Linked DNA regions of Caenorhabditis elegans. The protein of the gene in region 1 purifies or fractionates together with the protein of each later gene. This does not show direct contact. Each region holds a gene or a part of one and is shown in the gene's direction. Other genes may lie near its edges.

Region 1 (4,025 bases):
AGACGTGTCTTCACAAACTGGTCGTAGTTTCCTCCATAGTAAACCAATTGCTTTTGGAACAAATGAATGATGTTGGTGCAAACTCCGTTCATGAAATCTTGAGAGTGAGAAACCACCAACAAGGTTCTTTTATACTGAGCGAGTTCCTCCTCAAGCCACACACAAGCTTCCAAATCCAAATGATTGGTCGGTTCGTCGAGAAGTAAGACTGACGGTTTCAGGAAAAGTGCACGAGCGAGAGCAATGCGCATTCTCCATCCTCCAGAAAAATCTTTACATTTTTTCATTTGCATAGTTTTTGTGAATCCAAGTCCGTGCAAAATTTCGGCAGCCTTCTTTTCAGCGAGAGATGCATCCATTTCATCCAGCCTTTCGTAAACATCCATCAGCTTGTCCTGACTTTCCTCATCAGTCTGACTAGCAAGCTGCTCGGCAAGATGTTCCAACTCTTTTCTGACTGAATCGACATCAACGACCGCTTGAAGAGCAGTTTTCTCTGAAGCAGGCATTTCACGGGATACGAGGTACATATCCACGGACTCTGGGATTGGCATTTCCTTGTTGTAGATTGCCTGAATGATGGTAGACTTTCCAGATCCGTTCAATCCGATGAGTCCGTAACGACGTCCACGGTTGAGTTCGAGTTTCGTGTCAACGACAATTTCACGACCGTGGAATGTAATCTGAATGAAAACAAAGTTACTTGTTGGAGTCGCCAATTAAAAACCACTTACCGTCAGGCTTTCTACTCTGTGATCAAGACCCTTTGGATCGGAAGTCAATGATCCGGCGACTGAACGAGCAGCAGCGTTTTCCAATTCGATTTTGGCCAAGGTGGCGGCGGCCTGATCGAGCTCCTCGTCTAAACAGCAGAGACTGTTGACGGACGGATGTTGAGATGACATGGCGGTTGGTGTTTCTACCTGGAAATGAGATGATTATTATTTGTTAAACAAAAAAAAACTAAAAATCAATTGCTCACCTTCTTTTTTCCTTTTCCTCCTTTGGCGGCAGCCTTCTTAGCGGCCTCGCGTGCTTTCTTCGCATCAGACGGCATTGTTGTCCAGCAGTGATGCGGATGGGGTACCCTAAATTTTTATTTATTTATCTCTCAAATACACGGAAAAAGCGACGGATAAAAAATACGAGAGCGAAAATTCACATAAACTAGACGAGAAATCCTCAAAAAAAGCAGGAAAAGAAATATTATTTCAACGAAGCGAAGGCCTTTGGCATGGCACAGTGATCCAAATGGTGAACGTAGTCAGCCATCTCCTGATGGCAGGTCTCCTCAGTGTTAGAACGAGAGTTGACACGATCGTTGCACTCGTCGAGAATACTCTTGAATTCGGTGACATGGTCGGCACATCGCTCACGGTATTGAGTAAGTTGATCGACGTCAGCCTCGAGTGGCTCTTCCTTGTGGCTCGACATACTGATACCCGAAAAAAATTCCATGATAGTGACAAGTCATTGGCTCGATGAGAAGAGAAATATGAAGAAAACTACTTTAAAGCGATTCGAAAAACCGGTCATACCAAACTCCCGTAGGCATAAATTAGCCACAATGCGATATCGATTTTTTTCGGAACATTGAGGTTACGAATAACCAGTTATCTACAGTGTAAATAAACAAAAAACACTTCAAGTACTGCTTATCACTAATACACTATTGTGTTTGCTTTGACATGGCTCATAATTTTCATAAAAACTGAAACTTTCGCAATTAAGTTACTTTCTTGGAGTTATGACCTATTTTTCGAAAATAAATCACGTTTTTTTAATAAAACAAAACGTGAAAAATTCAGGAATGAAGGAACGAACACGTTTAGAAAAGAAAAATACGAAAAATCGATAACAAAACTGATATTTAGGCTCAAAATATGCAAAAAATCCCAAAACTGGGCGGTCAGAGAAAACTAGTGTTTGAATCGCCGCGCCTGACGCACCGTACTTGCGAGCGTGGCGAGACCTGCAAAGTGCCTCACGGGCTGTGCGCGCACCCCGTTTCGACGGGCGGCCGTCTTCCCACTATTGCTTCTGGCAAGCACCGACCACCGAGGTCCTTCAATCTTGAATCATGTCCAAAGAAAAGTCCTTCGACACCAAAAAGTTCTTGATCGATCTCGCCTCAGGAGGTAAGCTTTTTCAGTTTTTATTGCAAAAATTTGGAGGATTTCTATAATTATTAATTTTGGGTTTTCATTCGTCAAATTTGTGATTTAATTAATTTTGTTTTCTTTTAGGTACCGCTGCTGCCGTCTCCAAGACCGCTGTTGCCCCAATTGAGCGTGTCAAGCTTCTCCTCCAGGTGTGTGATGAAACTTTTTTCCACTATAAATATGAAAAATTTTAGGTCCAAGATGCTTCCAAGGCTATCGCCGTTGACAAGCGTTACAAGGGAATCATGGATGTTCTCATCCGTGTCCCAAAGGAGCAAGGAGTTGCTGCCCTCTGGAGAGGAAACCTCGCTAACGTCATCCGGTACTTCCCAACTCAGGCCATGAACTTCGCCTTCAAGGACACATACAAGGCAATCTTCCTTGAGGGACTCGACAAAAAGAAGGACTTCTGGAAGTAAGTTAAACATTGCATTATTGTTTTTAGAAAATTTCACATTTGAAATTCAGGTTCTTCGCAGGAAACTTGGCTTCCGGAGGAGCTGCTGGAGCCACCTCCCTCTGCTTCGTCTACCCACTCGACTTTGCCCGTACCCGTCTTGCTGCTGATATTGGAAAGGCCAACGACCGTGAATTCAAGGGACTTGCTGACTGCCTTATCAAGATCGTGAAATCCGATGGACCAATCGGACTCTACAGAGGATTCTTCGTCTCCGTGCAAGGAATTATCATCTACCGTGCCGCATACTTCGGAATGTTCGATACCGCCAAGATGGTCTTCGCTTCTGATGGACAGAAACTCAACTTCTTCGCCGCTTGGGGAATTGCTCAAGTTGTCACAGTCGGATCTGGAATCCTTTCCTACCCATGGGACACTGTTCGTCGTCGTATGATGATGCAGTCTGGACGCAAGGATATCCTCTACAAAAACACCCTCGATTGCGCAAAGAAGATCATCCAAAACGAAGGAATGTCCGCTATGTTCAAGGGAGCCCTCTCCAACGTCTTCCGTGGAACCGGAGGAGCCCTCGTCTTGGCCATCTACGACGAAATCCAGAAGTTCCTTTAAATTTGATAACACTTTGATAATTTTTACCTTGTCATTGTCCAACAAAATCTCGTTATGTAGCTTGTTTTAGCAAAGTAGTTCACCTAGCTACTATGTTAAGTTTTCAAAAATAAAGCGAGCCACATAAAAAGTTTTAAATCCTCTATTAAAGTTTTCCCCTTTTCAAATTCTCATTCTTTCCCTCAACACCCCGATTGAACATTCGTTAGGATAGCCCCTTTATCTGGACTCGGTTTGACAATCTCGGTTATTGCACCTGTGTTTGCCGTTGATCTTTAAAATTACTCGAACAACAATAAAACGTTGTTGATTTTCCCTTCGTTCAATTATGTGCCACAGAAAGATTTCAAACCGTAGCCGTTTATTAACGATGAGATTTTGTTTCGCAAGCAATGAGGTTCATTTGGGGTCAGTGGGGGAAGTGAATGCCAGGGAAAGCGAGAAAACAATGTGAGTAGGAAAGTGCAATAGTGAATAGTTAGACGTCAGAAGTGTCTGCGAAGTACGCATGGCGTAGAGCTGCATCGGCATCGATTCTTCCTGCTGGATTGCAAACAAGAAGTTTCTGCAAATACTTCGAGTTTGAGTAAGTATAATTTTTATTGGAAAAAAGTTACCTGTAAAAGATCACGGCCACGTGAATTCAAATTAGGTACGATTTGGCTCCATGTAAGCGTTGGATGGTAGATTGGGTAGGGCTGAAAAATGGTATGTTATACTTGTGTGTTCCTATAATGCAATGGAATTCAATTAATTATTGTCAATCTTAAATCTAGAACAGTTGTCTCTGCTTCTCTAAATCTACTCAATACTCTGTTCTCTGTCCTGTCCCAGCC
Region 2 (5,229 bases), 8.6 Mb from region 1:
AGCAGCTTGCTCTTTGTTTGCTTCATTTAAATAATATTTTATAACTCTTCACTTTTTCTAACAATTACTTTTTATAAAACATTAAAGTTCCGATAAACATTTACAGCTGTCACTCAATTAACCTATAACAATCCTGGATGGTGAGAGACTAGTATTTTAAAACATTTTTAATTGAATATATTATTCCAGGACGTTGGAATTGCGAGTACATCTAACACAAACGATGTGGAGTTTGACGATGGTATATATTATTGATTAACATTCACATGATAATGGTTTTCTTTCAGATTTCATCCGACATGCTCGTCACATGCCGATCAATAAATTAATTGAAGAGCTGGCAATGTTGGAACACGGTAAACCAGCTGTCAAGATTATCTTTTATTGATTTTATTTTAATTATTAAATTTAAATGTTTCAGACAATCATCCACTTTTACATACTGCTCGCCGGAACTTCGATAAAGATAGAAAAGTCCAGAAGGATCGAATTGAGTGCCATCGCGCGAGAGCCGAACTAAAAGGTATCTTTTGAATTGTTGAAAACTTTGAAAAGCTCAAAATACAAATTCTTTAGCAAAAAATGATTTCAATACAAGAAGTGCCGCAGATCAAGCAGAATGCACATTGCGGTTAACGGAATTGCTAGACGAATTCACGAAAAGGAGTGATGAAATGGACAAAACAGTTTTGCATGAATACGGAGTCATCGATATTCATAAACAACAGTCAGCTCCGCCTGTGTTCGAGTCCAACAAGAAAACTCTGCGAGGACGTGGAGGAGGACAGCTTGTTGAGCCAGTCACTTACTTCAATTCAAATCAGAATACTCGAATACCTGAATTCAAGCTGAATTTGTCTTTCGAAAATCCGAGAATTCGACAAGAGTTGGATATTATTATGAATCGGCCGAATTCGCGTCGAATCATTGTCTGTTCGGTATCGATTCAGAAACCGAAACTTGTGATCGATAACAAGTCATTCAAACACGGCGAAGATGTCTATGCGTATAACAGAATATTTGGAGAAATGCTCGCAAAACTCGAAATTGTCACCGATAAAATGATTAACTTGAAAGGGGCTAATGTAAGTTATCTGATGTTTCTACAATTAAAAAAATTGTTTTTTTTTCCAAATTAATTTTCGAAGATTAACGAAAAACGATTAAAAATCAATAAAACGCAATAAAGAGGGCTTGGCTTTCTTTTTAATTTAAATTATAATTTTTCTGATTGTTGTATGAAGCTACAAAATGTACTGTTTTTGTATTTGAATATTGTATTACAGGGTTGGGATTCTCGGCAAATATCAGCGACAGTGGAAGATTTAGAAGAAGGACGTGTGACAATCACTAAGCAAAGAGGAAAGGATAAAGGATTGTGATATTTCACTGTTTTACTCATTCGCTTTTTAAATAAGAACTATATGCCGATTTGCCGATATATTTTTGTTTATTAGGCCTCTCACATTCCTGTACAATGTTTCTACCAAATAAACTGCATTTTTATCTGAAAATTCGAATTTATTTTTGTCTACTTTTTACTCGTTGCATTCGAGATCAGCATATCTTCCGGTCTATTTATATTCAACGATTTTTATAAATTAGTACTCCTTCATGTTTAATTTCATTTTATCTGTAAGCTTTACTGTATTTTTTTAAAATCTTTCTTGCTTCTATCTGATTATACAATGTTCTTTACTCATTTTCAAGGTATTTTTATGCCTCACAATTTATGCACATTTCGGGCTTGGAGATTTATCCTCTATATTACATGCCTGTTTTTTTAAAGTGTATATAATGTTTAACAAATAATTTTTTATCAATGCTATTGTATATTCTCCAGCTAACCGTTGTTTCGAAAACATCACCTAGCATTTTAAAATTCACAAAATCTTGCTTCCTTATAATCAAGAAGATTTTTCAGATGCTCTGCGAAATCGAATGCCGCGCTTTGAGCACGGCACACACGAGGCTCATCCACGACTTTGAACCACGTGACGCATTGACTTATTTAGAAGGCAAAAACATTTTCACAGAAGATCATTCTGAACTTATCAGTAAAATGTCAACTCGCCTCGAGAGGATCGCCAATTTTCTTCGAATCTATCGACGTCAAGCTTCTGAACTTGGACCACTCATCGACTTTTTCAACTACAACAATCAAAGTCACCTTGCTGATTTCCTCGAAGACTACATCGATTTTGCGATAAATGAGCCAGATCTACTTCGTCCAGTAGTGATTGCTCCACAATTTTCCCGACAAATGCTCGATAGGAAACTATTGCTTGGGAATGTTCCAAAACAAATGACATGCTATATTCGAGAGTATCACGTGGATCGAGTGATCAAAAAGCTCGACGAGATGTGTGATTTAGGTGAGAAAACTGGAAGCTCTCGTGTTTATTATAATCTTGCTTAAACTTCAGACTCCTTTTTTCTGTTTCTACACGGCCGAGCTGGATCCGGAAAATCAGTAATTGCATCACAAGCTCTTTCGAAATCTGACCAACTTATTGGAATGTGAGTGGTATTATCTGAATCCTACGGATCTTCATTCTATTACAGAAATTATGATTCAATCGTTTGGCTCAAAGATAGTGGAACAGCTCCAAAATCTACATTCGATTTATTTACGGATATTTTGCTGATGCTAAAGTGAGTGAATAGAGTGCATGTAACATTCAGCATGATTTTGAAATTATGAAAATTTGACCTGGTTAGCTTTTAATTTGATATTTCGTGACGCTTGCATGTTTTGTGTGTTTGAAGACGAGCCCGTGTTGTGAGCGACACGGATGACTCGCATTCGATCACCGACTTCATTAACCGTGTTCTTTCAAGAAGCGAAGACGATCTTCTCAATTTCCCATCGGTGGAGCATGTCACGTCAGTTGTACTCAAAAGGATGGTAAGTTGCTTGCCGATTCTGGTACAATATCTTAAATTATTGGTTTTTAGATCTGCAACGCACTCATTGATCGTCCAAATACTTTATTCGTATTTGATGACGTAGTTCAAGAAGAAACAATTCGTTGGGCTCAGGAGCTACGTCTTCGATGTCTTGTAACTACTCGTGACGTGGAAATATCAAATGCTGCTTCTCAAACATGCGAATTCATTGAAGTGACATCATTGGAAATCGATGAATGTTATGATTTTCTAGAAGCTTATGGAATGCCGATGCCTGTTGGAGAAAAAGAAGAAGATGTGCTTAATAAAACAATCGAACTAAGCAGTGGAAATCCAGCAACGCTTATGATGTTTTTCAAGTCTTGTGAACCGAAAACATTTGAAAAGTGAGTGGGACATACCAATTTGAGACTTTTAAAATAATTTATTCTACAATAAAAGTTAATCAAAAAGTTTCATAGCTGATTGTCTTTAAATTTTACGAATTGAGGATCAAAATCAAGAATTAGGATCCTGGCACGAGAGAAAACTGTGTAGCTACCGTACCCGAGAGATTTTCTTGATATTTGCCATCGATTTAATTTTTTAAGAAAATTATCGTTTTACATAATTGAACAAGAGATACACGGTCTCGACCCGACGGAAATTTTTTAAATGAAAGCGAGTATGAGCCTGTTTTCATTATTTTTCGATTTTCTCTTGTTGTTTCTTTTTATTTAAAGCCTTTTATTTTGAAACAAGTCTAAAAATATTAAAAACTGAATAAAATATTTAAAAAAAATCAAGTAAAATAGAAAAACAGCAAGGCTGGAGACTACTGTACTTCTTAAATCCGCATACTCTTTTTATTTAATCATTTTCCGGAATGTCGAAACGAAATAATACATTTTTAGTCCAAAATCGCTAGGTATATTCTTAAAATTATCAAACATTTTGCATTCAGAATGGCACAGCTTAATAACAAATTGGAAAGTCGAGGATTAGTCGGTGTTGAATGTATCACCCCTTACTCGTACAAGTCACTCGCAATGGCTCTTCAAAGATGTGTTGAAGTTTTGTCAGATGAGGATCGAAGTGCTCTTGCTTTCGCAGTTGTGATGCCTCCTGGAGTTGATATACCCGTCAAGCTATGGTCATGTGTTATTCCAGTTGATATTTGTTCAAATGAAGAAGAACAATTGGATGATGAAGTTGCGGATCGGTTGAAAAGACTCAGCAAGTATGAGTCTTGAAATTTGAAGATTTAAATTAACACTTAAAATTTCAGACGTGGAGCTCTTCTCAGTGGAAAACGAATGCCCGTTTTGACATTCAAAATTGATCATATTATCCATATGTTCTTGAAACACGTCGTTGATGCACAAACTATCGCCGTATGCTGAAAATGTCTCAACTTTCAATTAAATTTTAAATTTTCAGAATGGAATCTCAATTCTCGAGCAGCGTCTTCTTGAAATAGGAAACAATAATGTATCAGTACCGGAGCGACATATACCATCACATTTCCAAAAATTCCGTCGTTCATCAGCCAGTGAGATGTATCCAAAAACTACAGAAGAAACTGTGATCCGTCCTGAAGACTTCCCAAAGTTCATGCAATTGCACCAGAAATTCTATGACTCCCTCAAAAATTTTGCATGCTGTTAAAACCTATCGTGTACAATATTGCCTGTATATTCCCCTCGAAATACGTTTATACTTTTTCGCACGAGTTTTCTCATTTTTTCATTTGTACTTGTTTTATTTCTCTCCAAAATTTCAGATCTATCCCAAATGTTCTTAAATTTAATGTTTTCTACAGATACTCAACACATCTTGTTTCATCTCATCCTTGCTTTTTTTTTTCAAATATATTCAGTTTCTTTTATAATTTTAATTAATCGAATTAATACATTCACGTAAAGAATTTCGTGGACTATTATTTTATCGCATCCAAATGATTTATTCCCTATTGTTCGAAACTTCCAAATTGATCATTTTTAAACACGCCTCATTAAATTGAAAGTCGTACTTTTAGTCTCGAACATGAAGTAAGTTATTTTCTGTGTTCTAAATTCAAAGTGCATTCCAAAAGGACATTTGATGAGTTTTCACGAAAACCGTAATTTTTACAATTTCCTTTCAGTTTTGAAGATGTTCGATTTCTTTCCTCTGTTGGCGTCATTACTACATTTGCTTTGCTGCTTCACTTTATCGAGATTCTTGCCATCAATGGAGTTCCATCTAGACCGATAGCAGTCTTCATATCATTATCCCTGTATATTGTACTGTTTCAGTATTTTAACTTATCGATTACGTACTATTTTCAGTGGTTCACTG

What was found.
Region 2: the proteins of ant-1.1 (region 1) and ced-4 purify together in Caenorhabditis elegans (affinity purification with western blotting; one study listed by BioGRID). This does not show direct contact.

The regions. Positions count from the first base shown.
Region 1 is NC_003281.10:13,461,151-13,465,175, forward strand, and holds ant-1.1 (ADP/ATP translocase), read left to right. Parts: upstream 1-2,012; 5' UTR 2,013-2,080; coding exon 2,081-2,138; intron 2,139-2,246; coding exon 2,247-2,311; intron 2,312-2,356; coding exon 2,357-2,577; intron 2,578-2,630; coding exon 2,631-3,189; 3' UTR 3,190-3,502; downstream 3,503-4,025. Other genes in the region: abcf-2 (ABC transporter domain-containing protein), read right to left, coding at 1-683, 735-923, 983-1,057; T27E9.2 (Cytochrome b-c1 complex subunit 6), read right to left, coding at 1,207-1,434; cdk-5 (Cyclin-dependent-like kinase 5), read right to left, coding at 3,668-3,754, 3,807-3,887.
Region 2 is NC_003281.10:4,850,401-4,855,629, forward strand, and holds ced-4 (Cell death protein 4), read left to right. Parts: upstream 1-1,924; coding exon 1,925-2,375; intron 2,376-2,426; coding exon 2,427-2,520; intron 2,521-2,565; coding exon 2,566-2,653; coding exon of another isoform or gene 2,654-2,655; intron 2,656-2,773; coding exon 2,774-2,908; intron 2,909-2,958; coding exon 2,959-3,296; intron 3,297-3,853; coding exon 3,854-4,129; intron 4,130-4,177; coding exon 4,178-4,283; intron 4,284-4,329; coding exon 4,330-4,557; downstream 4,558-5,229. Other genes in the region: F26A1.1 (Non-structural maintenance of chromosomes element 4), read left to right, coding at 138-140, 190-241, 288-356, 422-523, 577-1,085, 1,287-1,382; C35D10.8 (PH domain-containing protein), read left to right, coding at 4,936-4,940, 5,036-5,174, 5,220-5,229. UniProt on the Caenorhabditis elegans protein: Component of the egl-1, ced-9, ced-4 and ced-3 apoptotic signaling cascade required for the initiation of programmed cell death in cells fated to die during embryonic and postembryonic development.